Arabidopsis thaliana: one gene and its partner. The protein of the gene in region 2 interacts with the protein of the main gene of each other region in a pairwise test. Each region holds a gene or a part of one and is shown on either strand. Other genes may lie near its edges. The genes, in order: COPT2 and AT4G21650.

Region 1 (14,673 bases), on a different chromosome or scaffold from region 2:
TTGAAAGAGTCAATATATATGTTTATAGGAGTAGTCTTCACGGAGATAATCACAGGAAGAGAAAGGTCTCCGATCTTCATCGTTTTTCTGTTTACTTGAGGATAAATCGCCGTCAATCTTTGAGCTACTCATGGGTGTGGATCAGCGAGTGCCGATCCGAACCCAAGAAAAACGCCAAGATCTCTAGCATCTTGATACTTCCCCTTTTTCTTCGAGAAGGACGAATCATCTTCAGTCATTAGGTGTTTCACTAAAGAAGCTTAATAACCAGTGGCTGAGCTACAAAAAATTGTTATAGGGATCATATTTTATTTTAATAATTAATAAAATATTTAAATATAATATTTAATTTCAAAAAAAAAAATCCTTAAAAAATTAAAATTCATTGTCTTTAAAAATAAAGAAAATAAGAGATAATCATTATTGTTCTTTATTCATAATATACAGTATATTTATCATTCCATTTTAACATATTTTGTCATAGTTCAATAATATTTTCTAAAAATATAATGCAAAAGAAATGATTGAAACAATATAATATGGTTTCCATAGGTGCAAAGAATAGATTTGAGCACTAGACATGAGGTCAATTTATGAGAAAGCAACCAATTTACCACAATAATCAAATGGAACATAAGATTATAAACAAAAATTCAAAGATTTATGGGGGTCATCTCACCCTCTCCCTTGCCAATATTGTGCATCTGCCACTGTTGATAACTCAACATACACTCGTGGAATCCGCTCGTCGGGGCATCCTTTTCCTCTTATATTTTTCCTCATGTACCGCTCCAGCTTATGTAAGAATTTGTAGATAACTGGTGGAATTGACATTATCATGCCAACTGCTCCACTCACGGTAGAAAATATGACAGTCTTGAAAATGTTCCAGCTTTCATATGCATAATAGATTGTCCTAAGTAGCATTGTCCTACAGTTTCTGAAAAAAAAGACTCACATTTTGTAGTATTATTGTGGTTGTGTTCTTTATCCTCTTTATAGGCTCGATGTTGACGTGGACATCATGCAACTCTTCCTTAAGTCAATCTCTCTTCTCATCCACCATCTTTTGTTCCAACCATGTCGGGATTCACATGGAGCTCGTCATTATCACCATTTAATATTCACTCAAAGTAATGAATGTTATGCATAGAAACAGTGACAAGAAGTCACTATACAATGATTTGATATAGTAGACAAGCGCAATGGATCTCTGAATGGTCTCTGAATTGTCTTTGATATAGCAAGAGGCGATATTAGACGCAAATGGTCTCTGAATTCGCCTTGCGCATAAGGCGTTTGCCTCGTAAAACATATAAATTCATCACATCATCTATATAATATAAATATATATTTTTTCGTATACGCCATGATTTAAAAATTTTGAAATGAATATTAAATTCTTTAACCTATAAAAACAATATAGTATGAAAAAAAAACAAAAATTACATATAATATGAAGTTAAGTGGTTGTCTAAAAATACTCATAAAAAGAACAAATTTTTAGAAAAAAGAACAGTATGCGTGAAATTTGAATATTTAAACTATTTAATATGCATCAAAAGTTAAATACCTACATTCACGATCATTTATTACTTTTGAAAAAATACATAAGTATATAAAATAAGATAAATATTTTTGATTAACATGCATATATTCGCTGGATCTTTATCTTCATCATGATCTTCTGTGATTAAGCGATTAATGGGTTGTGGATTCATGATAGCCGATTGTCAAACTAAGTGGAATCAGAGGCATCGATCCATAAGATACAGAGGAAACATATTTTCAGTATACTTTGTACTTAAATTGAACAAGTTAGGTTAACAAATCTTTGGAAACCAAATTTTTTTTACAAAATGATTTATTTAAATTGAGCCCTAGTGATAATTAAAAGAAATATATTGCATTAAAGGTATTTTATCTTACTATATATTCATAATTGTTTTTTTTTGTTACCTTTTATTGCTCCTACTTTCACAGTATTACAAAATAATAGTTTTCTAACGTATATAAAAAAGTCCCAAGTCCTTTTACAAATTTATGATTTATTTTAAAACTAAGTCAAGAATTGTATTACCCCGAGCTTGAGAAATCCTTAAAGTATATAGTGTGAATGTTTCGGCTCATTATGAGAGCTTCTTTTACTAATTTAATTTACTGTTTTTCTTTAATTATAGATTGATATTTATTTACTTATATATATATATATATATATATATATATATATATGTTTTTAGAAGCACCATGATTCAAAGATTCCATCGTCGACCAGTACTTCTTGGTTCTCCTGAAAATAACATAATTAATATTGAAGAGAGGTTCCAAAAATGGCATGTATATAGTCATGAGAAAATAGTACAATGGTTTCTTCTTCTGTTCATTTCAATGTTAAAGAAACAAATGATAAGTTGTAGATTGTGAGTTGATCTGTGAAGGTTATTCTTAATGACTGAAAATAGACAATTTCTTGCTGCGCAAGTCACTTTAATGGTTCTCTCAAGGCGTAACACATGCCTTCTGTAGTTATGTTGGTTGTTCTTCTTATTGACGATCAGCTAAACCGGATTAAATGTATCCGAACAAAACTAAACCAACTCTACCGGTTAGATGAAGATCACATGTTGAATTCGAATCCTTTTGTGCGGTTTCCTAGAATCAATGTTCAAGAAATCGTTCGACGATAGTTTATATACATCATTTGTTATCATAACTTTGTGGTTCATGAGCGCCTAGGCAGGCGGCCTAAACTGTTTTTTGGAACCTTGGTTAGCATAGTAGAACTATAGAATATTTAGAGAACGGTTTAATAAGTTTATATAACCATTTTAGCCTCTAAAAGAAATCAACTAGTCCTCTCAAATCATTTACTTTCCAAAGAAAAGAAAAGGCGTGAACCTTGCCGTTCTCTTGGTACGTACTATACTAGTACTTGTTTATTGGTTGACCGTTAATAAATTATTGCTAAGCTCAAGATATCTTAATTTATTAATTCTATTGTCAACGACGGTGTCTATCTTTTTAATTGTATTTCGTAATTTCTATATAGAAAGCTTGGAACTAATATAAGTTTTTGCAATATCACTTCTATTAAAAAGAGAGCACATACATGTATAATGTAATTCGATAATGCATGGACCAGTCATTCATATTAGGTCTGGGCACGAAGCGGATATCCGGAAAAATTGTGATATTTGTTATTCGATTTGTTTTAAACGAATACTTGATTTTGTGATTTGCTTTGCTTCGAAAATTTCCGGATATCCGGAATTTCGAATATCCAGAATTTTTTGTGATATTTGCAGATATCCGCTTTGATACATTTAAATATTAAAAAAAACTGTATACTATATAACCATATCAGATATTCAAAGTTTTTATTAAACATGCTTTCAAAATAAGTTTTAAATACCAAACACAACCGTTGTTGGTATCATCGGTCAACAAAATGTTATCAAACTAATTCCAAAAACTAAAACCCGATAGTTTTTGATGCCATTGATCAAAACATAACATTAAAAAAATGAACAAACAAATATTTTAACATAAAAACATAAAATGACAACAATACATAAACTATTTATGATATCTATATATAGATATAACTATATTTTCTAATATATATAAAAAGATACGGATCGAAGCGGATATTCGATTTTTTAAAAAACAATATTCGTTATTTGATTCGGTTTTTACGAATACTACATTTTCCTATTTACTTTGGTCCAAAATCTTACGGATATTCGGATTTTTCGAATCAAATCAAATCAAATACCGAATCGAAGCGGATCGAACGAATATTTTGCCCAACCCTAATTCATATAATTGGTTCACCTAGTCCGTGAACATCTTTTGTTTTGGGCGGCTCTTATTCTTCGTGCTACTTTCTGTTTTTTGAATTTGTTTGTATGACATCAGAAGTAAAAGCAAACTAAGAGTCGAATAATTCAACCCTGAAAGAAAAGAAAATAAGGTTCATTAGATTTCAAACACAAAGAAATAGTGTTTGATAATCTAAACCGATCGAAATCCAATCCGACCGTGAATCAAATAGGTGACTGAATTAAAGTTAAATGATCAGTTTATTTTGTCTTAGATATATTGAGTAGACATGCATATATCATACGATGAAAATCAATAATTTAGTTCTTCTTTTCTCCATATATGTATTTACAATGAAAATACTTGTGGATGGTTACAAGAACCTTCTATGGACAGCATTTGTTATCATAAGTTTGTGGTTCAAAATTTGTCAAATACACTTATCTATAATAATGCAAGAAAAAGATAGCCATATTCTTCAAAATTCAAATGAAATTGTGGAATTAATTTTGTGATTTCATAAAAAAAATCCAAAAGTCACAAAATATTCAAGAAATTGTGGAATTAATTTAGTGAATTTTTGTAACCTAAGAAAATCAATTGAAAATATTTAGCTTCCACTATTAATCGAGTTAAACCAAAACGAAATATCAAAATTTAAAACCAAACCACACACAAAAGAAAAGTTCTTTATAACACAACGAGTAATTTTGTTGATAAAAAAAAAAACAAAGAGTAATTTCAATTGTTCAACAAACGCAGCCTGAAGACGGCGGAAGAAGCTCGGCGGTTTTCTGGTCATCGGAGGGTTTCTTGAAAGTAGTGCTCCCAAAGAGAAAGAAACCAACGCCATAGCCGGCGATAGCGACGATGAAAACACCTGCGTTAAAGGACATAACAGCGAGCATCACCAAATACGAAAGGCCAGTCTTGAGTGTGTACACAGCGGTTTGAGCGAGCCCGGCGGCTCGATTGGTTGAGCCACTGACACGTAGGATCGGTGAATGAGCGAGCCACTCGGCAATTACGGCGAGGAGGAATATAACAATGAGACAGAGAGCGTACATGCCGGAGCTTGTCCCGGGCCATCCGGAGAAGAGAACCTCCGTGTTCTTACCCCAAAAGAAGGTCATGTGCATCATCATCATGTGTGGTGTTGTATGATTCGACATCGATGATGATGATGGTGATGGTGGTGGCATGTCATGCATGTGATCATGATCCATGATACTAATGTTAATAGGGTTTATGATTGATTTTCTTGTAGACAAAATTTTTAAGAGAGAATCGGTTCGTATTTATTGTGATTTCTTAAATGTATGTGTTGTACTGTAGTACAAGTACATCATCTTTTGACTTGTTAAATTTTTTTGTGTAGTACAAACATTCGTTATATTAGAATTTAGAAAATCCCCTTAAATAGATGTTCAAAAGAAAGACAACTATATAATCCCCTAAATATATATATAGTATTTACCTTATTTGCATGATACAACATTACAACTCCATGCCTCTTCGTCTAATCTTCTTTGCGTTGGTATAATAAATAATTTACACAGAATATCTAATTTTAATTTAGAATAAATCTAATAATTTGAAAAGAATTTATACAAATGTAATTAAGGATTTAGTAACTTAGGTTTCAAAACCAAAATTAAGGAGGTGTTATTGGTTTGTTATTTATATAGATTTTTAGTGGTTTGAAATGTTATGAAAAATCTTTTGTTATTCAATTAAGATTTTATAAGATTCTATTAAAGTTTAGTGTTATTAAATTTTGATTTGTAAAAAGTAATCTAAAGTCTTAATAAATCTGAAGTTATTGGATTCATAATTTAATAAAGTCATCAATTTTTTTGTGATATTCAACTAAAAACAAAAGAATCTATGATTGTTAATGATTTAAATTATTGTATTATTGGTTTATAATTTTATACACTTTTATTCACAAAACAAAATCATGAAAATATCATAAAAAGTGAGCGATTGTGAATCATAACTTTGTATATAAACAAAGACCAATGATAAACCATCGTGAAGAATGACCATAGATTATCACAAGCCTCAAAACCTCACGACACAGTTTGTATTGACCTTTTTCCTTACTCTTTTGGGAATTCCCCATAAACTAAGCATATATGTATAGATAGTAATAAGAAAAAAAATTGATAATCACTAGAATTTTAATCATAAAAAAAAAATATACAAAACCAAAACACTCAAACACAAAGAAGACAATAGTATATGAACACACAAATTAAGAAGATGAATTAGGAAAATTTGAAAACTTACGTATTAACAAAATCGTAGTGGAATATTTTGGGAGAGTACACTTTTTGACAATCAATACTTACGTTTTTTATAAAGAAAGCCTAAAATAATAATATCATTTTGGTGAAAATAGTATTTATAGAAGATGAGAAAATATTATCCAATATTTTAGAGATATGTTCTAATAATAATTGTTGCAAAAGCTTTAACACCACTTAAAGTCTCAATTACATGGCTTTAGATAAAAATGAAGTTACAGAGAGTAAAAAAAAATCTGACTTTTAAGACTGTATAAGAGCAAAAACAAATAACAGTCTGATTGTATGAAAAAATGCTGTAAGGACTGTCAAATGCTTTTAAAGTCTTGACAGTGCGATGTCAATCACCCTCTAAGAGATAAAAATAATTAATGACAAAGTTTGTAATTATATTTAGACAGATTTTACAAGATTATATGAAGATTTTACAAAATTATAGAAAAGCTAATCATAGAGATTATATAAAATTCTCTAATTAGTGTTGTTGGGTAAAAGACAAAAAAAAATATGACCTCTACGACGACGTATCGATACAAAAGCCCAAAAAAGAAAAAAGGTTCGATACCTTGCGGTTCACGTTTCCTATCATTACCTGTCCGTCGTTTTCTTCCTCGGAGACGTCACGCAATACTTAGCTTCTACGCTACTCACATTTTCCCACAGTCTCCGGAAAACTGACAACTAAAAGCTAAACTTTCTCTAAATATGAATTACTAAATTTCTATCTCTCTCAATCAAAATTGTTGTCTAGGAGCTATAACGATTCAGATTTGATGGCAATCTCCAATGGCGCCGTGGAATTTCTCCGGCGACGACTCCTCCCAACTACACTAATCCACGTCACGGCTATAGACGGCATCGTGAACGTTAATTCACTCTTCTCGCTTGCTCTTTTCCTCGGCCTAACCACAAGTGGAAACATCACTTTCCCGGTTTCCTCATCAGCCTCCGAGAACCACCATCTCCGCCGATGTATCTCTGCAAAAGGTCCCGCATTAGCGGAGAGGCTAGTATCAAGCCATGTTTACTCCTTCAGTTTATTCCTCTTCTCCAGTCTCATCGCTATGTCTCTCAAGCAAGCAATTAGGACAACAACAACAACAACAAACGGGAACTGTTTAGAGGAGGAGGCGCGTGTGTTGAACGCGGGAGAGGGGCGTGTGAACTTGGCAGCTTTAAGGGTTGGGATTGTTGCTTCGTGTGTTGCGTCGGTTTTGGGATGTGGGTTCTTGACAATGGCGTTAGTGGATCTTGTTCAGATTAAACTTGGACCTTTGGAATGTAAGAGAAGCTTTCATGCACTTGCAGCTATTGTTCCTCTTGTTGTACTTGTTCCTTCTGCACTTATTATCTATGTGTTCCTTGTGCTCTACGCATTTATCTATTAACCCTTTTTTGGGTTTCTACAATCTCTTGTCTGATGGATTTGAGGTTTCAGATTCGATTAGTTCTGTAGCCAGAGATCTAATCTTTGGTTTAACATTAGACAGTCAAGTATACATCATTGAAACAGTTTTTTTAAGAACAAACAAAATGTTCAAACAATCAAATATTGTTCTGTTTCAACTTGATATTCTTCTACAGAGACGCACTTAGAGAAGCTTCTAGTAATATAGTGAACCTGCGAAAATATCAAGATTAGGCATATGTTATAAGCAAAACAAACAAAGACGTGAATATTGTAACAAACATCATTTGGTTAGGGTATGTATAGTACCTTGCCACCAGTTTCCTCTAGAGGCGTCAGACGAATTGGCATCGTTGTTATCTCTGTTCTGATCCTTGTTAATCTGAATGATTCAACGTTTTGTAAAGTCAAAAGATTTTGTCTCTTCTATGAAAAAATCAACAATCAAAGTAACATGAAGGGGTGGATGATAAAATGATAGTTATGTTAACTCACTGTAGGGTAAGTATGGTTGTGTGTGGGGTGAGAGTAAACATCTTGACCACCGTAGTAAAGAGATGAGCTTAGATTGCAGGTTCCAGCTTCTTTACGTTGTTCTGTGAAGAAACCACGAAAACCAAGGAGATAATGTATCCATTAGACCACCCGGATTTGGATAGTAATCTTGACTAAAGAACGGTGAATCTTAGATGAAGAATTTTTGAGCCGTTCTTGGCATGAGATAGAAGGTTTTTTGAGATGAATCAAAACGTTTTTCTAGTAAAACCTGGCTTAATATAAAGTGAAAGGAACCATATTGATTCAAGAAGGGAGACAAGTTTTCTGAGGCTTAATTAAGACTTTTCCACTGACCTAGGGACCCATGTTTGGAGCTTAGGATGTTTCTTGCTGTTCCCTGAAAACACGAAAAAAATGAGAAAGGAAGAATGAATTTCAAGAATCCATCATAAAAAGTAACAGAAGAAACTATAGAGAAATAATCGAACCTTGGAAGGAGGGAAAATGGAGTTGAAGTTGGCAGAGGAGGAAGGTTCCTTGGGGCCAAAGAGTTGAGCTGTGAAGGAAGAAGACGATGATGATCCAACTCTTCCTTTACCCTCCATTACTAAGAGAAATGTGTTATTAACTAATCACTTAGAAGGAAATGAAAAGAGAAGATGATGAAAAATGTAGAAGATCATGAGTGTATATATAGACAAATAGAAAATGCTACAATATGATAATGTGAGAAGTCAAAAGAACAAAAAAACTGCTTTTAAATTTAGTCCCCACCACTATTTTGATTTAGTTAATTCGGTTTGGTTTTTTGGATTTTACTATGTTAGATGCAATTTTACATACGAAAGAAATATATTCAGAGAGAAAATATAGGATTCCAACCTTTCTTGATCACAAAGAGCCAAACACAATTGTACTTGAGCTTTTTCAATCCACTGTTGTCTTAACAGTTTTTTCAAAAAGAAGATTTTGGCGGAAGATCTTACCATCATTTTCATAGATTTCACCAGTAATGTCACATTAATAAAGAATGGTCAAATATCATTGATCCCAAACTAAAAATGTTCTTCTTGTCTCGTCAAGTGGATGATAACATAATGGTATAATACATTAATAAAATGACCAGATAATATTCCAAATACTCGAATGGATTTGGTCATGTATATTTAAAGAGCACTCAAATGGGGATGTCTTCATCTTTTGGGGGTCAATGATTATCATATTGAAACACAAAAACGTGAGCGGCAGGATTCGAACCTGCGCGGGCAAAGCCCACATGATTTCTAGTCATGCCCGATAACCACTCCGGCACGCCCACAAGGACGATTATAAACTTCTATTAAGTTGTTCATGAAGTAAGAATGATAAAAGAAGAGCCCTTCGACAACATGAGAGGCCAAAGAAATGTGGAAAAAGTAGAAAAGTTGTCAACTTAGAATCTTCTTTACTCAAAAGATGATAGATTCACAAAGTTAGGTCTTTGACTAATATTATGAAGCATCAGAACGAGGAATAGAAGTCACTTCATAAAGATGATGCATTCACAAAATTTCGGTCTCTGCCTAATATCATGAAGCATCATAACAAGGAATAGAAGTCGCTACATCATCTGGGTTCGTCTAACTAACTAAGTCTTTTGTTTCGCCACTTGCTCAGATCTACTGATACTTCTTCAGGATCACACATTCTGGATCTTGATCAAGATAGACTTCCCCTGCACAATGCACACAAGTCATTGATGAATAACAGTCGCAAACATCTAAATTGCCAAAAGACTAAGACTTCATAAGTGGAGAGAAACACTATTCATAAAGAACAGTTTGAAGAAACACTTGAAGTCTGAGATAGAAGAGTAAAGTTATGTGCATACAAACCTCAGCATCTACCAAATATCTCTTCTGGTGGATCATAAGCATGTTTCTCAGGGAACAACTCTTCGAAATCCTTCTTCACTTTGTTTCTAAGAAGCGGATGCGGCAGAAGCCCCTTCAACAAAACCCTAAACGGCAACTCTTCCGGCGGATCTGGAGATTTCAACATGTCTTCATACACATTCATAGCATCAGCTGGACATCCGTCTCGAAGAAATCCTCTGATAACCTCAGTATAAGTCTGAGAATCAGGAAAGAGGTTTTCTTTCTTCATTTTCTCCCACAACGCCATTGCTTCATCCATTCTTTTACTCTTTGCTAAGGATACTATAAGGTCCTTGTACATAAACACATCAGGTTGGTACCATTCTTGTTTCTGGATCACCTCAAACATCTATAAGTTGAAGAAACCAATCATCAACAACACAACAAAAACGACACAAAACCATAAGAATATACGTATATGATCTATAAAGGATGGTCTAAAACTTAAACAATATAACTACCCTAATGTTAGCTCCGTTCAGGCATTTCGTCGAACACTTCATGAGCACATGAGATCAAACTAAAGATGAGCTGAAGCGAGACATAAGCTGAAAGACCCAGAAGAAATTGTCACGTAAAGAACGCACCTTGATGGCTAACGCAGTCTCTTCTTGTCGTTCAAGCTCACCGATAACAGCTAACATGTCTAATTTCAACAATCTGAAAACATGGGTTTTTATAAACTTGTCCAGCTTCTCGTCGTCTTCTTTCAATCTCTTGAGACCCAGAATCACGAAAAGGGCTTCTTTTCCGATCAGTTTCTTACCTCTCCAGAGAGGACCTCTTGGTCTCCCGTCATGGAACCGAGAAACAAAGACAGTGAAGGGTTTCGGCGGAATTGGGTGAAGTAGCGTTTTGGGTTTTAAATTCGAGAATGAAATTCGATGAATTGACGGATTCCTTGTAATGTTTTGGAAGAAAATCGAAGCGAAAGTTGGGAACTTTCGCGAGCAGACGCGAATGGCTGTCATCTCTCAAAGGCGTGAACTTTGAATCGTCGCCTTTCCTCTGTATCACACAATAACATAAAACACACAACGGTAGTGTTAAACGTACAAACGACACCGTTTTATGGTGCTTCGTTTGTTAAAACGTCGCGTTTTTTAGTTTAGTGAGATATGATGCTATTTCTTTAAAATCTAAAGGAGATGGAGAGCAAACGAGAACATTATAATCAAAATGAATCATAAATTATAGAGAGATATGAACTGATTTTGACACATTAGTTCCTAGCATATATAACGATAGGATTTCACAGAATGGACTCCATCAGACCATATAAAATGTGACGATGCAAGTTTGTCAGCTTCGGGACCTTGGCCTGAAACCGTAACCGTGAAAGACCTCTTCTAGTACATAGACTTAAGTGACAAGAAATCTGAAACAACCAGATGGTGAGTTTTGATCAGAGTACTTTGGCTTTGTAAGTCGATTGTCATACCGACGTTTGTGACTATTCTACCAAAAGTCAGGTTGAATGGTTTGGTGTCGTTGTTGGGATACAAACCAACGACCCACATTAGAATATTAGAAAAAAAGTAAGGTCTAACTCCTACTGGAGCCTTTTGGGAAGGTATCCAAACAAATTTGTGCAAAGACAATATCAAACTAATGGGAAGTTAGAATAGGCTTAGAAAGCCCAATAATCATGGCCGTTCATGGATGGGTAGTTGAGGTTTCTTGCTATTGATTGGCTTTGTTCATCACTGCCACTCCTGTTTACACCCGAAATGAGTCTTAAACTCTTTGTTGTGTAATTCAAGCCGCAAAGGAAAGTGATATGGTCGGATTTAGTAACTTCATAGACAAGTTATTGGACTGACGTGGCCACCTCCATAAGCAAACTCGGTCATATGATCGAACGGAGAAGTAGATGTGTTCATTGGCCAAGCTACAAGAGACCTCCAAAAAAAACAGAGTATGATCACACCTTTCTTGCAATACAAAAAGTTATGTTTTGATAAAATCCTCTCTTGCAATACAAGAACGTTATGTGAACAACCGAGGATGAATTATCGCATATGGTTATTTTCCAATATTACGCGATGATTCATCCTCGGTAGTGAACTTCCAAAAAATAACCGTTTTAAGATGCTCATCATCCAGATATTTAATTTTTGATTATTCTCCAAATTTAATCAAAACTCTCTAATAATCTTCTGCTTGGAATAATAAGCGTGTGAAAGACTCATCTTTGTGCATCGACTTCAGAAACAAGACATCTGGAAAAACTTTGACGTTGAGTATTGATCTGACTAATATTCGCTTTGAAGATAGTGTTAGGCATAAGCCATACCAACGTTGTGACCGTTCTATGAAAATTTAGTATAATGTTTTAGCGCGTATAATTTAGTATAAAACTCCTTTGATGATCATTCTCGTGACTCTTTTGATATTTAGCGCCAACATGGTTTTAGTTAGCACCGGAAAATTAATGCAAAGAACACTCGAAGAATCTAACTAGATGTTTAGAACAAATGTAGGTGAGGAACGATCATAAACAATAACAAAGCATGAACAGTAATGACCGTGGCATGAAAATTGAGAAGCAAATTTGGAAGACAAGATATATATCTTCTAGAGAGGTAATGACAATGTATAGAGCTGTCAAAGCGGGTTGTCCATGCCCATAAGCCCAATCCATTAATGTCTATTTTGATATTGGACAAATGAAGGTCATGTCCACTAAGACCCATGTCCATTAACGCTCATGTCCAAATGGGTTGTTCAGTGGACATGACATAACAGAATCAAATTTTAACACAATAGTATTTGCTTCATATTTTAATCAATACAAAAGTCAAAAGTCTAACACTTTGAAATTATCAATCTAAAAGCAAATTTAAACAACAAAGTATTAAATGATTTAAGTATCAATCAATCCAAAAGTCAAAAATCTAACACTTTGAAATGTTTTTCGATGATTAGTGTTTTTCTGTTTTGCTACAAATCACTTAACCTAATATTTTATGACTATTGGATCGTTCATGTCCATCACGTCCAGTCCGCTAAAGCCCATGTCCGTTAATGACCATGACCATTAATGCCCGCTTCATAATGGGTTTGTCCATGACCAGTCCATTAAGCATTGGACACGGGCCGCCCGTCCATTTTGACAGCTCTTACAATGTACAAGACAAAATGGTGTTTCCAGGACTTTATTTGTGTGACGAATGATGAATTGTATATTTGTTTATCTTTTTTTATTATTATTGAAAAAACATTGTCTTTACTTTATATATCTATATATTTAAGGAAATTTTTCATTTTACCCAAAAGAATAATAGGTTAATATTAAATGCCGAGATATGTTATTGACGATTGTTTGTATTACTACCAACAATGGTATAACATAAAGAGACGCTATAATGTTTTAAAAGGATCAACCGATCATAGGAGCATCTGCAACTTGGCCGTTGGAACCTAAATAAACAAAGACCCTGTTGCAGCAAAAGTTTTCAATCCGCTTTTCTCCATATCGAAGGACAATCGCTAACACATTAGGATTTTCTCTTTCGATCGTCATTTTCGCCAATTGTCCATTTTTCCCAACCAGTTCTGGCCACCTATACTTCTTTCCTGGAAAATTATTTGTTTTAAAAATAGTAATATAGTATTATTAAAAATGAAAGAAATTGAGAATTTGAAGATTTCACTTCAACAAAAAAAAAAGAATGGAAAGCATACCTATAGCACAACACTCTGGATCTTCGCAAGAGCCAGACCAACATGGAGGATAGCGAGACATCTCTTCTTATTTCTCTTTCAACTAACACAACTTGATTGCTTTTTATTTTACTTGAGCTCTGTCTAATGATTTTCTGGTTATATATATATACAATTGTTATATGCTTCATATGGAAACAAATTTATGTACTTTGAATAAGAAAATTAATCCTTTATTTGATTTCCTCTTTTTTTTTTTTTTTAATTTTCGTATTCAAACTACAACCTTACTGTATTTGTTTCCATATAAAAACACTTACCAAAAAACCGTTAATTAGCCATTATTGAAAATTGTTTAACAAGAAGAAAGATAAATCAATTAATTTATTATCAATAGATTATTTTTTTACTGCACGTTATTACTGTGTGGCTTTCTGGTTCAGTTCCAAAACACTCTTTCACCAGTGGCTTTGTTGTTTGGACCGATTTTCTACTTTCTTGGCTCGATCATGGAATATCACCGTGGTTAGGGGTGGGAACGAATTTTTAGAAATTATAATATACCTAATTAAGGAGAAGACAAAATCGTAAAATTTTAAGAGTAGAACAAAAATACTATGAACGTGATTCTAATATCCTATTTCTTTAAGTAAACAAGTAGTAATATATGTGATCATTCTCCAAATTAAATCAAAACTCTCAGAACCATTTAGAACCAACAAGGTTTTAATTAGAACTGGCAAATACTTAGATTTTATGTTTATAACTAAAATGAGTGTAGGAACCAGAAACATCAAAACTAACGAACAAGGGTTTAAAAGTAATAATTGACGATAACATATAGAAACATTAACTGGTTCTGATTCATCAGTTTTAAGCATAAACAACAATGGGGCTTCTCACAAAGTGGACACCATCGGACCAGATCAGCTGTGCCGAGACAAGATTTTCAGCTTTGGGACCGGCGCCTGAAACGGTTACCGTGAAGGACTTCTTCTCGTACAATGACTTTAAAGACAAGACTGCCGGAACAACCTTGACTTTGAGTTTAGAT
Region 2 (17,895 bases):
TCAAATTCCCTTCTGGATCAAGGAGCCTCCACATCTCTAAGGCGTAATCTCTTTCAGCCATCGTGCAAACATATACTTCAAAACGCTTACGCCCTTTTGCTGTCAAATAGCTTCGAAGTTCCTCCCATGAGGGCCTCATTCTCACAAGAACACTTGTATCACGAATCTGTGTGTAAATATAGGAATGCAGATTCAGCCACAAGAATTCAGAAAAATCTAGGTGCTCCAGAAAGGAGCAAATGAAAAATAAAAGGTTATACCACAAGTATTCAAGGAAATCCACCACACAGCACACCACCACTTATTGTCTTTTAAATGTGTAGTAAGCACTAAACATATATGTATACGGGGAACAGAAACTAACAGACATATACTGATTCAAGACTTGCATACCATTGGGTTAATGCGAGTCAGAATAATATTCTTCTCTTGCAACCTTATCAGAGGGCGAACAAGAGGCTGATGGTTGTCAGACAAGGCAGGAACAATTTCAGATTGCACCTTTATCACCTCCCCGTTTTCAACAACCTGGTCACTTTCAATATATTGCTTCAATAGATTTTTGTCATCTTGATAACGCTTCATCTCAGCCACTATAACGGCAAGGCGTTGAGGGTCCATCTCGTTGTTTATTCTCCGCTGAAACCCGTCAATCTTATCCTCAAATGAGCGCATGGTATTCGCCACTACAAGGGTTTCATCAAGATCAAAGACAATACCCAGACATCTAAGATTCAACATAACAAGACAGGAATCGTAAATTCCAGGAGCAACACTAAATGCCCAGAAACAAGGACGGTCATTCTTGATATTTTCCGAGTACATAGCAACCAAATGGAGCTCTTCTCCACCCAAGAGCATTACTGCTGTCTGCAAGAAGCAAAAATCCAAAACTCACAAATATGAGGACAATTTGTAACATAACAAACAACACAAGATTCAAACCCCCACTCTACTAAAAGTTTCTAAAGCCCCAAACTTGATGCAGCTCTGACATTAAGGAAGTTAAATAATGACACAAAATCCTATTTATCATTAAGTGTTTTTGAGTTTTAGTTGATAAAATCTAAGTCTGAGTAAGGCTTAAAGGTTCGTAAGGTTTAGATACCTTGTTGTCCCTGAGACAGGACGAGTAGAATAAACTGAGTGACTCCTGAGCTGGAGAAGGTGAAGCTTCTAATTTGAAACAAAGGCCACAAGATGAAATTGTAGTAAGTATTGCAAGAGGAGGACACCTCTCGCCAGATTGAGAAAAGTGGCTTATTCTGATTCCCATCTTGGCTAGCTCCATTACTTCCCTCTGTTTCTTCTTCCTCTGCTTCATCACATCATCTTGTTGCTGATTCAATTCCCTTGAAGGGTATATCTCCAATTCTCCAAGTCTTCCATCACCATGAAACACTTCTACTCTATTATTACTATACATACTTTCTTTTCTCCTTCTCCTTCTTAAAGTTTACAGATCAATGGATGTCTATTGTCTCATCTCAAAATTGGTTCATCAAAATCTAAACTTTTTGTTGTCCCTTGGCCAGAATTGATAGATTGATCACCAGTCCACACTAGTTTATGAATTGGATCCGAGTTTTTTTCTTTAGCAAGAATCAGGAAAACAAAAGGAAGATTTTTGATAAATGGGTAAATAAGAGAAAGAATGAAAATTTAGTGTTTGTTCCTTAAGATTTTGTTCCCTTTGAATATAGATCTGTAAAATACCGATGATGAATCCACAAAAAAAAACCCTAGTTTCTTTCTTCTTCCTTGGTTGATGATGAGTTTGTTTGTGTATCTGGGAAAAGTTTATTAGGTTTTGTGGCGTTCTAAAAATCGAGAGAAACCCTAGATCCAGATAACGAAGAGTCAAGATTGTGAATACGGCATTATGCCTTTGTCCTTGGTTTTTTTAAGGGAAAACAAAACACGAAGGGCCCCTTCATTTTCTTTAACCGTTCTTTTTTTTATTTATGTCTTATTTTAAAAACAATTAATACTATTTTTAAAAATTAATAAAAGCCTGAAATAGTTTTTATCAGCTCAAAACCTGTCAAATTCTGTTTTTTTTTCGATTCATACCGTACTTGTAATGTACTTTTATACTTGTGTTTCTGATCTCATGTTTTGATTTTTACAGTGTCAAGGATTCATATACCACAAGATATTTATAGTTCATCTAATTCTTTTTTTTTAGAAGATTATTTATTCAAAAGACATGATATTTTTGACATATACTTGTCTCTTTATTTGTGAAATATTTTTTATCTACCAAGCATGAATATTTTTTCACATATATCTTTCCCCTACTCTTTTCAATCTTTTCCTTATAAAATAATAGTTTAGTAAATAAAAAATGATTTATTTTGTTTTCTAAAATACACAACTACGTAAAGATAATTTTTTTTTATAGACAGTATTTTTTTCCTTGTTTAAAAATAACCGTTACGTACAAAAGCCGTTACAAAATTCTTTCCTAATGTCTTTTTTTTCCGTGTTCTTTCCTAATGTCTTATGAAAACAATTTTGAAACTAAAAAGGCACAATGTATATTGTTCTAATTGCATAATAAACAACCGATAACATACACCGGGAGTCGTGCTCACATTAATAAAATCTCAAAGTGAATAAAAATTACCTCAATTCATGTAAAAACTAAATTTTTACGAATAATAAACTAAAACATTTAAATTTTATTAAAAGTTTTGTTGTTAGTCAGAGAATTTTATTTAAATCTCAAATACCCACATATATACAATTTTGATACTTATAACTTTCTTCAAAATTTCAAGACATTGTGTAAACTGTAATTTTATAATTTTAAAAGTTCAATAGAACATTTTTACGAATAATGTAGAGTTAACTCGTGCCAACATTTATAGTAGTGTTTGAATATTGTTCCATACATTTCCTTTGAAATTTTCTATTAGTTACTAGTAGATGGTCTTCTACAAAACAATTCTTACACTCGAAGAAAAATATAAAGTGTTGGGCCTATTGGCAGATATATTCGTCTTCTACTTATATGGGCCTTATGCCAAACCGGAAATAGAATCAGAGAGAATTTCAGCAAACCGACTCTTGTTCATATACGTATATCCTCGATTTCCGTCGTTCTTCCTTCTCCTCTCAATCTCTCTTTTCACATCACCGATTCAGAGAGAACACCGAATATGACCGCCGATTCAACCGTCGCACTCGTTCATAGCGTCGTTTCTAACGGTGATGTCTCCAACGGAAACACCTCCGCTTCCTCTAAGAAATCTCGTGAGATTGACCGTCGCCGCCGCAGACGGAAGCAGAAGAAGAACAACAAAGCATCCCAAGCCGATGTAGATGCATCGGACGTTTCTGCTGCTTCTGAATCCAAAGAGAATACAGATCCCCAGCCACAGGTTAACTTTGTGCTCATCTTCTCGTACTCGATTCATGGAGAGGTGTTCTAGGGTTTTTCTTAGGGTTTGTGATTGTTTATCGTTTGCTGATGATTTTTGGTATATGTTTCTCTTTGATAGGTTTGTGAGCAGATTGTGATAGAGTATGTTCCAGAGCAAGCTGAATTTGAAGATGGTTTTAACGATGAGTTTAAGGAAATCTTCGAGAAGTTCAACTTCCGCGAACCTCTTGCCTCTGAAGAAGACGGTACGAAAGATGAGTCTGAGGAGAAAGAAGATGTCAAAAAGAAGGTTAACTCTGATTCTGATTCAGACGACGACGAGCAGGATAATCAGAACAAAGAGAAAGGCATCTCTAATAAGAAGAAAAAGGTATAGCTCAAACCTTATTATTACCTCTCAATTTGTTTTATTGCATTCTTTAGATTCTGAATATTCTGAATTTCTGTTTCCTCAGCTTCAACGGAGAATGAAGATTGCTGAGCTGAAGCAGGTTTCCGCTAGGCCTGATGTTGTTGAGGTATGGATGCTTCTCTATTGTGTTCATAGTACCAAGGTTTATCTCGTTGTGTAGATATCTATTGTATATTCATAAGTTCTGTTTTACAATTTTCAGGTCTGGGACGCGACTTCAGCAGATCCAAAGCTGTTAGTGTTTTTGAAGTCGTACCGGAATACAGTTCCTGTTCCAAGACATTGGTCGCAGAAGAGAAAATATTTGCAGGTTTGTGATAATTCTAGTAATGTACTGTAGTTAACTATATGTTTCTGTGATTTGTGGGTGTGGTACTGGTACATAGGGGAATTATATCAAGAGGGATAGAAACGTCTGTGATAACCATGTCAATTAAGTTTCCTTATACCTATATATGCTTCTTGCAGGAGAACATCTGTGATAACCATGGAGCCTGGACTTGTAGGTGTAACCGGAGAGGACTCTTAATTTTTTTTTTCTGTCTATATATGAAATCTGTGGTGCTTAGGTTTTGGAGTAAACTGTTTAATGAATCAGTTTGGGATATTCCCTTTCTGAAACTGTATTTTGTTTTCGTATGCATGATAGTGATCTTGCTTTTAGATGCATCTGTTTTTGTAGTACTTTTATACTGCTTTTTCTTTCTTTTTATAAGTTGGTGGCATCTCAGCGGGGTTTCATTTTTGCAGGGAAAGCGTGGGATAGAGAAGCAGCCATTTCATCTTCCTGATTTCATTGCTGCAACCGGAATTGAGAAGATTAGACAGGTAAAAGTTATTCTCTATCAATATAAGGTGCAAGTCGCTAAATGCTTCTACTGTCAGCTAATTCTTGTGTGGTTCTTATGTAGGCTTACATTGAGAAAGAAGATGGTAAGAAATTGAAGCAAAAGCAACGGGAGAGAATGCAACCAAAAATGGGAAAGATGGACATTGACTACCAGGTTTCTATTTTTTTTAATCTTTGTTTTGTGATGAGTATTTGCTGATATCTGTTCTATAACTGACAAGTGAAGCTATTCTTTCCTTTCTCAGGTACTTCATGATGCATTTTTCAAATACCAAACAAAGCCTAAGCTGTCAGCTCTAGGCGATTTGTATTTTGAAGGGAAAGAATTTGAGGTAATTCCTTGTGACATGTTTTTTCAGCTTTATCTATAATTACATTGCTTGGTTTCATTGGTTTGTTTACCTAAAATCTAATTACTATCATTTGGGAAATAGGTTAAACTGAGGGAAACGAAACCAGGGTTTTTGTCAAACGACTTAAAAGAAGCTCTTGGTATGCCTGAAGGCGCTCCTCCCCCATGGCTGATTAACATGCAGGTGAGTTTATTGTGACTTATCTTTTTAATTATTCTGATTGGAATCGAGTTGTTCACCTTTAATCTCTTCTTTGACAGAGATATGGTCCGCCTCCTTCTTACCCACATCTGAAAATTCCTGGTTTGAATGCTCCTATTCCAATTGGAGCTAGCTTTGGTTTTCATGCTGGCGGCTGGGGGAAACCTCCAGTTGACGAAGTAAGCATTTTTTTTTATCTACATTCTTCTTTTTTATTATTTCTATGCCATCTACTAACTTTTATTTTTTTCCCGTTCTTATCGTTTGTGTTACATAGTATGGGCGTCCATTGTATGGAGATGTTTTTGGTGTCCAGCAACAAGATCAGCCTAACTACGAGGTAACTGTTTTCATCTCTCTCTGTTATTCTCCTTAGTAATTGCATATTGTGCTACGAGGTAGATACCACAAAATACAAAGTAAAAGCGTCCTATTGAATATTTAGAGATCATACAATTTGGTGATAGAGTATGACGGTTGTATTTTATCATTATCTTAGGAGGAGCCAATTGATAAGAGCAAGCACTGGGGTGATTTAGAGGAAGAGGAAGAAGAAGAGGAGGAGGAAGAAGAGGAACAAGAAGAGGAGATGGATGAAGAGGAACTAGAAGACGGCACTGAATCTGTTGATACACTGTCAAGGTATTGTTATCATTATGCATTTATGAGGTGTATACTATTTATTTGTTTCCTTATCAGTATAATCTAAGTATAAAGCTGATTTGTGATTTTCCCCTTCTTTCAGCACTCCTACTGGTATAGAGACACCGGATGCAATTGAACTTCGTAAGGATCAGAGAAAGGAACCTGATAGGGCTCTATACCAGGTTTGAAACCTAATTTTGATGATCTTACACGCCTTGTAGGCTTTTCTATTAGTTTGATATAAACCAATAATTCACTGTTTCTGGTCGTTAATGCCTTTTTTTTTTTGACTTGTGAAGGTACTCGAGGAAAAGGGAGAGAGTGTTGCTCCTGGAACATTGCTGGGAACCTCACACACATACGTTATTAAGACTGGTACTCAAGAAAAGACGGGAGCCAAAAGGGTAAGCAGTCTGTTGTTACATGCTCAGAGATTTGTTGTTTTGCTTGATGACAAGTGGGCTAACGTATGCAATTGTGTCAAATTGAGCAGGTTGATTTGCTGAGAGGGCAGAAGACAGACAGAGTGGATGTCAGCTTACAGCCAGAAGAGCTGGATGCTATGGAAAATGTTTTACCTGCCAAGTATGAGGAGGCAAGAGAAGAGGAGAAATTGCGCAATAAGCCAGTGGACTTGAGTGACATGGTCGTCGAGGTAATGACTTTCTTTATATTTATATCTCTATTTTTTTCAACACTATTGATATGAATGCGGATGAATAATCAAACGTTTACTTGGTGGAATGTTTAACAGCATGTGCAGCAGAATAGTAGGAAGAGGAAAATGCATGACAAGGAAGGGAAGAAGAAGAAAGATTTCAAATTCTGAGGTGTTCTGGAAGAGACACGGAAAAGGATTCTGGATTCTGGACATGAGAGAGATAGGGAGAGATTCTTGTTCCAGAGTTATTAGTCTTTGAGTCAGAGATCTTGAGTTTTAGTCTTAATGCTTATGAGATTCTATACTATGTTGTTATCTGAAGGCTTAAGTAAAACTTTGTTTTTGGAATTTGAACAAATTCAAAGCCTGAGACTTGGAACAAAAAAAGTGGGGAAAAAAGGCTTTGTTTTGTAAGCGACGTCTTGTTTTTCAAATTGTCCGAGTACTTTCAGCGTTTATGGTTTTTAAAAGATTGATCATTCGGTCTACAGAATAAACCGTCGATGTGATCTATTTCAGTGCACCTTGTTATCTTTAAGCGAGGCAAAAATATGTACATTTTCACGACATTCGCTCCTGAAACCAAATTATGTTCATATGTTACTGTCATATGCATAGTGTGAACTAATTCATAGGCATGATCCTTGGGTTGTTCAATCCCTGCATGTGATGAAAAAAACTTAACATACTGTGGATTTTTTCAATGATGTATTCTATTACTTTTCCAATATTAGGCGACAAATGATTCGACCACACCTCATTCCGGGAGAGTAATGAAACAGCGACAAATGGCCAATTATGCCACTCATTGTCCTACCGGGCTACCACCATTCTTCACCTTTCTTTCAACATTATCATGAGCATGATGACTCGTAGAGTCGTAGGGTTCCTAAATCGCCTTTCTTCACCTTTCTTTCAACATTATCTATTTATCTTCTTTTCAAATCTCGCTTATTAATCATTATACATAGGCCTCTACATGGTAGACACATTTAGAAACAACAAGAAGTCTCTCCAAATATGAATGGTTATTCAGCCTACAAGCGATGTCAGAATTTTTTTAACACGTAGTTAAAAGTTTAACTTTGCTAGACAAATGAAATCTAAGATTAATATAAACATAAGAAAGTATATATGCTTGAAATGAGACAAATTTAGCTTTACCACTTAAAGGTTTTAAGCTAAGTGGATTCCGCTTCTACAATGATTAATGTTTGTCATTTTGGTTTCTGTTTACAATGAGTTTCACATACATACTAATTAAACTACTAAGTACTAGCCATTATAAAACATGCTGAAAAACGAGTCACATATGGTTCATCGTACCATAACACCTTTGGATTCCCACTACTAAAGAGATTCAACTATGGGTGGTCACTATCTATTTTATCTATAAAGTGTGAAATCCTATTTTTCATTCAAATCTTAATAATTATAACAAAAGTACCATTACGAGAGGATTGGTTTTAGTTTGGTAAGTTTTTTTTGAACCAACCAAAATTGAATACAATGTACTTCAGTGATAAAACCAAATATTAACCCGAAAGAAAAACTGAAACAAAGTGAGATTGTTTTGAGTTTGACACTACTCTCAATTATTAAACCGAACCAAACCAAATCCGAGCCGAAATTCGAATTTAACCCAAAAGTTCATCCCAAATGGTGGTGGAGTCATGAAACGTGAATTGAAAGATGAATAATAGATGAATTATTTACTATATATACAACCATAGAGGCTTCTATGCCACCACACACTTCTCACTTAAGAAAATGAATAACTCTTTACAAAGTTCTAAACTTGTGCTTCTATTGGCTATTGCTTTGGTCCTATTTCTTAACACGGAGCTGGATTTTCTTACAGCTGCTGGAGCCTTAGACAGTGATAGCAAAGTATTCAACTAAAAATACCTTTCTCTATTTGCAAAAATCTCTAAGAGTTAACGGATTTTAAATTTTGTTGGTACTCTTGTTTCGCGGATTTTATAGGTTTATATAGTGTATCTTGGCGAAAGAGAACACGATGATCCTGAACTTGTCACAGCTTCTCATCACCAGATGCTTGAATCACTTCTTCAAAGGTATTATACTTGAATCATCTTTTAAAAATTTCTACTAATAATGATATTGGACAATTACCTATTGAATTTGTTTATATGTACAGTAACTATTCATTAAACTTGTCATATATACATGTTTAATGTTTATTAGTTAAAACATTTATTCAGGCATCTGTTAGGTTGATAATAATATATTACATACGTTTCTTGTCACACAAGAAACTCATTAGCCCATACTCTGTTTTTCTTCACAGAATTGAAACCCTCCTCTGTTTTAAACTTTGTTTGTTATGAATTATGAGCTCATATTTCACTTTTACATATCATGTTATATACAGCAAAGAAGACGCACAAAACTCCCTGATCTACAGCTACCAACATGGATTCTCTGGTTTCGCGGCGCTTCTTACATCATCACAAGCTAAGAAAATTTCAGGTACTCAACAAAACTCAAACTCACATTTAAGGAATATTCGTATCTTTGACTCTGAAAACAAAGTTTCTAAACCAGAATCTTGTAAATAAACACAGAGCATCCAGAAGTTATCCATGTTATACCAAACCGGATTCGGAAACTTAAAACCACAAGAGCTTGGGATCACCTTGGCCTCTCTCCAATTCCAACTTCTTTTTCTTCATTATCATCTGTAAAAGGTCTTCTTCATGACACCAACTTGGGCAGTGAAGCTATCATCGGTGTCATTGATTCCGGTATCTAACTCTCTCCTTCTCTAACTCTAACTCCCTCCCTCTTTCCTTGGCTCACATCATGTATGTATGTATATGCAGGGATATGGCCAGAGTCAAAGGCAGTCAACGATCAAGGCCTTGGACCAATACCTAAGCGTTGGAGAGGAAAATGTGAACCTGGAGAACAGTTTAACGCCACAATACATTGCAACAACAAGCTAATAGGAGCTAGGTACTATCTAAACGGTGTAGTCGCCGCAATTGGAGGAAAATTCAACAGAACAATCATCCAAGATTTCCAATCCACCAGAGATGCAAACGGTCACGGTACACATACAGCCACAATAGCTGGTGGCTCATTTGTCCCCAACGTGAGCTACTTTGGTTTAGCCCAAGGTACTGATATATATATATATATATATATTATTTCACCACAGAAGTTAGCTTAAGAGTCAAGGTACTAGTTTTATAAGACAATAGTTTGTTTCCTTTTTAACCGATGTGTGATTCTTATCAGGTCTTGTCCGAGGTGGTGCTCCTCGAGCCCGAATAGCCTCGTACAAGGCGTGTTGGAACGTAATGAGAGATGAAGGAGGAGGAACTGATGGAAGATGCACATCTGCTGATATGTGGAAGGCTTTTGATGATGCTATACATGATGGGGTTGATGTTTTGTCGGTTTCTATCGGGGGAGGTATTCCCGAGGATTCGGAAGTCGATAAGCTCGATTATATCGCGGCTTTTCACGCGGTGGCTAAAGGGATTACGGTTGTGGCTGCTGCGGGTAACGAAGGGCCTGGTGCTCACACTGTTGACAATGTTGCTCCTTGGCTTTTGACTGTTGCTGCAACTACTCTTGACCGGTCTTTTCCTACAAAGATCACACTTGGGAATAATCAAACCCTCTTCGTACGTTTTACTAGTTAGAGAAAACAGTTCAAAGTTTGGAGTTCTTTTTTGAGTAACTTGTTGTTCTTTTGTTCGTTCGTTTTTAGGCTGAATCTCTGTTCACTGGACCGGAGATTTCAACCGGTTTAGCTTTCTTGGACTCAGACAGTGATGACACTGTTGATGTGAAGGGGAAAACAGTTCTTGTTTTCGATAGTGCAACTCCAATTGCAGGGAAAGGTGTAGCAGCAGTGATCCTAGCCCAAAAGCCTGATGATCTTCTTTCTCGATGCAATGGTGTACCATGCATTTTTCCAGATTACGAGTTTGGAACTGAGATTTTAAAATACATACGTACCACCAGGTCTCTATCTTGAAACAAAAACACTCTCTTAACTACACAAGTGCATGTATATATATACATCATTGATCGTCGTGCCAACAGATCTCCCACGGTGAGAATTACTGCAGCTACTACACTAACTGGTCAGCCTGCAACAACTAAGGTTGCTGCATTCTCATGTAGAGGGCCTAATTCGGTTTCACCAGCCATTCTCAAGGTTATTAAGCCATTGCGTCTCTTATCAATGTTTACTTCAAAAGGTTTAACGTTTCTGAGTAAACTTTGCTAAATATGTGGTCATGTTTTACTCTGTAGCCTGATATAGCAGCTCCGGGTGTGAGCATACTCGCGGCAATAAGTCCGCTTAATCCAGAAGAACAGAACGGATTTGGACTTCTTTCAGGGACATCAATGTCAACTCCTGTTGTTTCTGGAATAATAGCTCTCCTAAAATCTCTTCACCCTAAGTGGTCTCCTGCTGCAGTGAGATCAGCTTTGGTCACAACAGGTTCCTGCTTCTTCTTATTCTTCTTTTCCATAAACAAACCGTTACAGACTATCATCTGTTTCTTTTGTAGCTTGGAGGACAAGTCCATCTGGAGAACCAATCTTTGCTGAAGGATCAAACAAGAAGCTTGCAGATCCATTTGACTATGGAGGAGGACTTGTAAACCCTGAAAAAGCTGCTAAACCAGGACTTGTCTACGATATGGGGATTGTGGATTACATCAAGTATATGTGTTCTGCGGGTTACAACGACTCTTCAATCTCTCGTGTGCTCGGTAAAAAGACTAATTGCCCAATTCCTAAGCCATCAATGCTTGATATCAACTTACCTTCAATCACAATTCCAAATCTTGAGAAAGAAGTCACACTCACAAGAACTGTAACCAATGTTGGACCCATCAAGTCAGTCTATAGAGCTGTGATCGAGTCTCCTCTCGGTATAACTCTCACCGTGAACCCAACCACACTCGTGTTTAAGTCTGCAGCTAAGAGAGTACTCACTTTCTCGGTTAAGGCTAAAACAAGTCACAAAGTCAACACTGGCTACTTCTTTGGAAGCTTAACATGGAGTGATGGTGTTCATGATGTTATAATCCCTGTCTCTGTTAAGACAACGATTTCGATGTAATAAAAAGAGCCATATGATGCTCATTGTGTTTGTTCTTATGTAATTTGTTGCAAATCTAAGTCTAAAATGTCAAATCAAGATTCAAGATCATCATAATAAAAGATCAAATCACAAATACCTTAGAATCTCTTATAAAAGATCATGATCATAACCTATAGCTGTAACATTACATACAAATATATAATCATCATATTGACTATATATTATAAAGATGTGATATTTTAGTGTACACATAAATGCAAAAAATGGAACTGGTTTGCTCTCCTGTGATCCTATATATATTAAAGTTCAGAATATAATCTGTTTTACTAAAATGAGTAATTCAGACAATCATGATCTACCAACTTATACAGATACCTAATCTACTCTATTAGTTAGAAATGATTGATATCCTCTTATACTCAGCTGAAATTAAAGTAGGTACACTATTAGTATATCTATAATAAGAAAGACATCAATAATAAGAAAGACGACAATTGTAAGAGTTAAAACTGAGCCCTCTTGAGATCCATGGCGGGAAATAACGTTACACAAGAGATAAAACCGGTATGATTCAGAATTACCATACCGATATTGAGCCGAATAAACCAATAATTGAATTCGAATCTTACGCAATAGTTCACTCCCTAAAGACACACTATGTATATAATAAAGCTTCTCTTCGACAGAATCACACACACTTCTCACTGCATAAAATGGAGAACTCTTTCCTAAGTTCCAAACTTGTGTTTCTATTGGCAATTGCTTTGGTCCTATTTCTGAACACAGAGCTGAGTTTTCTTACAGCTGAAGGAGCCTCAGATAGTAACAGCAAGGTATGTAAATGTAACTAAATTAAAACGGTGTTCTATTTTGCGAAAAATCGCTAAGAATTTACTGATATTTCTAACTTTTTCGGTGGTTTTTTGGCGGATTTATAAGGTTTATATAGTGTATCTTGGCCAAAGGGAACACGATGATCCTGAACTTCTCACCGCTTCTCATCATCAAATGCTTGAATCACTTCTTCAAAGGTACTTTACTTTAATCATCCTTAAAAGAAGGCCAAAATTTCTTCTATAGAGACTAATCTCTATATTGGACATTAACCTATTGAACTTGTTTATATATACTGTGACGGTTCATTAAACTTTCCATATATTAAATTCAATCTCCATTATATATTCAGACATATGATTAGTTCATAATTATATAACAAATACGTTTCTTGTCACCCAAGAAAACCTCTCCATACTCTGTTTTTAACAGAACTTGAGCCCTCCTCTGTTTCTTTTCCTTTGTTTGGTACGAGCTCTTCTCATACTTGTGTCTCTAATAATATATACAGCAAAGAAGACGCACATAACTCCATGATCTACAGCTACCAGCATGGATTCTCTGGTTTCGCGGCGCTTCTTACATCTTCACAAGCAAAGAAAATCTCAGGTACGCAAACAAAACTAAAACTCACATGTAAGGTCTTCGAGCATTGAAGATTTTTTGGTTCCTAATCCAGAATCTTGTATATAAACACAGAACATCCAGAAGTAATCCATGTTATACCAAACCGGATTCTGAAACTGAAAACCACAAGAATTTGGGATCATCTTGGCCTCTCTCCAATTCCAACTTCTTTTTCTTCATCATCATCTGCAAAAGCGAAAGGTCTACTTCATAACACCAGCATGGGCAGTGAAGCTATCATCGGCGTCGTTGATTCAGGTCTCTCTCTCTCTCTCTCTCTCTAAATCTAACTCTCTCTCTCTCTCTAAATCTAACTCTCTCGCTCTCTCTCCTTGGCGCACATCATGTATGTATGTATATGCAGGGATATGGCCAGAGTCAAAGGTCTTCAACGATCAAGGTCTTGGACCAATACCTAAGCGTTGGAGAGGAAAATGTAGATCAGGAGAAAAGTTTAACGCCACAATGCATTGCAACAAAAAGCTTATAGGAGCTAAGTACTATCAAAGCGGTCTACTCGCCATGAATGGAGGAAAATTTAACAGAATAATCATCCGTGATTTCAAATCCAACAGAGATGCAACCGGTCACGGCACGCATACAGCCACAATAGCCGGTGGCTCATTTGTTCCCAACGCAAGCTTTTATGGTCTAGCACGAGGTAGTGATATAGCAAAAACCTTATGGATTTTATTCACTAAAAAGGTTAACTTAAGAGTCAAGGTACCGGTTTTATAAGACATTATTTATTTTTCTTAACGGATGTGGGATTCTTATCAGGTACGGTCCGAGGTGGAGCCCCTCGGGCCCGCATAGCCTCGTACAAGGCATGTTGGAATGTAGTGGGATGGGGCGGTATATGCTCATCTGCTGATATGTGGAAGGCTTATGATGATGCTATACATGATCAGGTAGATGTTTTGTCGGTTTCTATTGGGGCGAGTATTCCCGAGGATTCCGAGAGGGTCGACTTTATCGCGGCTTTTCATGCGGTGGCTAAAGGGATTACAGTTGTAGCTGCGGCGGGAAATGATGGGTCTGGTGCTCAGACTATTTGCAATGTTGCTCCATGGCTCTTGACTGTTGCTGCAACTACTCTTGACCGGTCTTTTCCTACAAAGATCACACTTGGGAATAACCAAACTTTCTTCGTACGTTTGATACCAAAAATAACTTTGAGAAAATAGTTCAAAGTTCGACCTTATTGTTTTTGCTACCAAAAGCTCAAATTAACTTGTTGTTTTTTGTTGGTATCTAATTTGGCTGAATCTTTGTTCACTGGACCGGAAATTTCAACGGGTTTAGCTTTCTTGGATGATGATGTTGATGTGAAGGGGAAAACAATTCTTGAATTCGATAGTACTCATCCTTCTTCAATTGCAGGGAGAGGTGTAGTAGCAGTCATCTTAGCCAAAAAGCCTGATGATCGTCCTGCCCCAGACAATTCTTACATTTTCACAGATTATGAGATTGGAACTCACATTTTACAATACATACGTACTACCAGGTCTCTCTATCTTGATGCCAAAACACTCTGTTACATACTTATATAAGTTCATATACATTTCTGGAATATATACATTATTGATCCGTCAAACCAACAGATCTCCCACTGTGAGAATTAGTGCGGCCACAACACTAACCGGCCAGCCTGCAACGCCTAAGGTTGCTGCATTCTCATCTAGAGGGCCTAACTCGGTTTCACCAGCCATTCTCAAGGTTATAAAGCCTCTTATCTATATTTACTTTAAAAGTTGAATCCTTTTTGTGTAAACTTGTTAGAGTATGCACATAGTTGGTACTCATAGAGTATCATCAACAATTTTTTATTATTAATTTTAATGCTTGTTTATTGTTTGAGATTTTTTATGATACTCATAATAATCTCTTTCCAGTGGTAAGACCAGTATTGGTATCATCAAAAAACAAAATTTATTTGTAAAATCGAAATTACATGCTAGCATCGGCTACTGGAGCGATAGTCGAGAGCAAATAATTTTTTTTTCTCTCATTTTCCACAAAAACGCGTTTTTTCGACTAATTACAAGCCGCCACGTCATTAGAGACTGGTATCAGAAATTATCACTCCAGTGATACTTCTCAAGTCCAAATCAGTTGCTTTGTCTATTAATTTAATATTTTTAGGCTTATGATACCCACAAAAAATCTCCTATGTACATGGTCTTATATATCTGGTCATGTTTTTACTTTGTAGCCTGATATAGCAGCACCGGGTGTTAGCATACTCGCGGCAGTGAGTCCGCTTGATCCTGGTGCGTTCAACGGATTTAAACTTCATTCAGGGACATCGATGTCGACTCCTGTTGTTTCTGGAATCATAGTTCTCCTAAAATCTCTACACCCTAAGTGGTCTCCTGCTGCAATGAGATCAGCTTTGGTCACAACAGGTTCTTGCTTCTTCTTATTCTTCTTTTTCATAAACAAACCATCACGAACCAATCGATCTGTTTCTTTTGTAGCTTGGAGAACAAGTCCATCTGGAGAACCCATTTTTGCTCAAGGATCAAACAAGAAGCTTGCAGATCCATTTGACTATGGAGGAGGACTTGTAAACCCTGAAAAAGCTGCTAAACCAGGACTTGTCTACGATATGGGGATCAAAGATTACATCAATTATATGTGTTCTGCGGGTTACAACGACTCCTCAATCTCTCGTGTGCTCGGTAAAAAGACTAAATGCCCAATTCCTAAGCCATCAATGCTTGATATCAACTTACCTTCAATCACAATTCCAAATCTTGAGAAAGAAGTCACACTCACAAGAACTGTAACCAATGTTGGACCCATCAAGTCAGTCTATAGAGCCGTGATCGAGTCTCCTCTGGGTATAACTCTCACCGTGAACCCGACCATACTCGTGTTTAAGTCTGCAGCAAAGAGAGTACTCACTTTCTCGGTTAAGGCTAAAACGAGTCATAAAGTCAACAGTGGCTACTTCTTTGGAAGCTTAACATGGACTGATGGTGTTCATGATGTTACAATCCCTGTCTCAGTGAAGACAACGATTTCGATGTAATAAAAAGAGCCATATATATGATGCTCATTGTGTTTGTTCTTATGTAACTACTCTTGCAACTCTAAGTTCAAAGTGTCAAATCAAGATTCAAGATCATCATCATAATAAAATATCAAATCACAAACTTAGAATCTCTTACACAAACATACAAATAGAGATAACAGTAATCTTTCCTCATCTATTCATCACAACCATATATTATCCATATAATAAAAACTACTAAAACCGAATCGAGACAAAAGGATCCTCATGATCTCATAATCTATAGCTATAACATAACATAGCAAATATATAATCATCATAATGACTATATATTATTAAGATCAAGAATCAAGATGTGATCTTAATTATATCTTAACAATAAGCAATACACTCCTTCTTACAATCCATAGTGAAAGTCTTAAAAGGCTTAACAATGATTAATGTTTGCCATTTTAATCTCCCTTGACCGAGTTTTTTCATGTTGAGTCTATATACTTTAATAACTAATTTATAGCCAAATTAACATAATGTGGCGAATCATGTAATGTACGTGAAAACGTAATTCTGTTTTAAGCAAAATTTGCACATATACATTACGATTGTTTGATTTATCATATAATTTTTGATTCTGTATTTTGTTAAATAGTTAGTTATATATTAAGCAAAGATTGCACACATTACGATTCTTTGATTGCCATATAATTAGTTTCATCGTACTACCTTTGGAATATTCCACTATCTATCAAAGAGATTCAACTATCCGTGGTCACCATTTTATAATCTATAAAGTATAAAGTGTGTAAAAAAAACAAATTCAAAACGATATACACATTAAAAAAAAATCCGGAATTGGTTTGCTGTCCTGTGATCCTATATTTCGGTGTAGAGTCTTCTATATTTCAAAAGTTCAGAATATAATCATTCTATACTAAATTGAGTAATTCAGTCAATCATGATCTACCAACTTCTTAATTACAGTTACCTAACCTACTCATTTAGTTAGAAATTATTGATATCCTCTTATAGTCTTATACTCATTTGAATTATAATTAGGTAATATATATAATTAGGTACACTATTCGTATATCTATAATAAGAAAGACGACAATTGTAAGAGTTAAAACTGAGCCAAAAAGTTATGGTGGGAATATCAGTAACGCTACACGAGAGATAAAACCGGTCTGATTCGGAATTACCATAATAAGTTGAATAAACCAATAATTGAATCCGAACCAAATTCGAATCTAACCCCAAATTTTATTGCTTAAGACGAATTATTTACTATTTATATGTATATAAAAAAGCTTCTATACCACACAGTCACACATGCACACACTTCTCACTTCAGACAATGGAGAACTGTTTATCCACACTTGTGTTTCTATTGTCGATTGCTTTGGTCCTATTTCCTAAGACAGGGGTGAGTTTTCTTGCAGCTGAAGGAGCCTCAGACAGTGACAGCAAAGTATGTAATTAGAGAAAAGAAGGTATCTATTTGCGAAAATCGCTAAGAGTTTACTGATATTTCTAAACTTTTCCGGTGTTTTTTTTGGCCAATTTATTAGGTTTATATAGTGTATCTTGGGGAAAGGGAACACGATGATCCAGAACTTTTCACAGCTTCTCATCATCAAATGCTTGAATCACTTCTTCAAAGGTACTTTACTTTAATCATCTTCCAAGATAAAATCTCTATATTAAACATTAACCTATTAAACTTTTCATATATATAATTTATCTCCATTATGTATTCAAGACATCTGCTAGAATTGATAATAATATATTACATACGTTTTCTTGGGTGCCAAGA

What was found.
Region 1: the proteins of AT4G21650 (region 2) and COPT2 interact in a protein complementation assay, tested with the Arabidopsis thaliana proteins (one large-scale study listed by BioGRID).

The regions. Positions count from the first base shown.
Region 1 is NC_003074.8:17,259,262-17,273,934, reverse strand, and holds COPT2 (copper transporter 2), read right to left. Parts: upstream 5,061-14,673; 5' UTR 5,049-5,060; coding exon 4,572-5,048; 3' UTR 4,425-4,571; downstream 1-4,424. Other genes in the region: AT3G46890 (maternal effect embryo arrest protein), read left to right, coding at 6,905-7,519; AT3G46880 (uncharacterized protein), read right to left, coding at 7,669-7,752, 7,849-7,965, 8,035-8,135, 8,392-8,434, 8,526-8,642; AT3G46870 (Pentatricopeptide repeat (PPR) superfamily protein), read right to left, coding at 9,913-10,302, 10,415-10,450, 10,541-10,924; AT3G46860 (Serine protease inhibitor, potato inhibitor I-type family protein), read right to left, coding at 13,336-13,532, 13,641-13,701; AT3G46850 (Subtilase family protein), read right to left, coding at 14,493-14,673. UniProt on the Arabidopsis thaliana protein: Involved in the transport of copper.
Region 2 is NC_003075.7:11,495,042-11,512,936, reverse strand, and holds AT4G21650 (Subtilase family protein), read left to right. Parts: upstream 1-8,197; 5' UTR 8,198-8,280; coding exon 8,281-8,400; intron 8,401-8,496; coding exon 8,497-8,588; intron 8,589-8,905; coding exon 8,906-9,003; intron 9,004-9,098; coding exon 9,099-9,278; intron 9,279-9,356; coding exon 9,357-9,653; intron 9,654-9,774; coding exon 9,775-10,166; intron 10,167-10,252; coding exon 10,253-10,509; intron 10,510-10,590; coding exon 10,591-10,705; intron 10,706-10,803; coding exon 10,804-10,996; intron 10,997-11,066; coding exon 11,067-11,623; 3' UTR 11,624-11,775; downstream 11,776-17,895. Other genes in the region: CPL1 (C-terminal domain phosphatase-like 1), read right to left, coding at 1-166, 394-870, 1,109-1,426; AT4G21660 (proline-rich spliceosome-associated (PSP) family protein), read left to right, coding at 3,165-3,386, 3,507-3,758, 3,844-3,906, 4,003-4,110, 4,269-4,628, 4,712-4,804, 4,896-4,982, 5,085-5,186 and 7 more; AT4G21640 (Subtilase family protein), read left to right, coding at 12,319-12,438, 12,545-12,636, 12,951-13,048, 13,139-13,324, 13,431-13,727, 13,847-14,217, 14,401-14,573, 14,671-14,785 and 2 more; AT4G21630 (Subtilase family protein), read left to right, coding at 17,437-17,550, 17,651-17,742.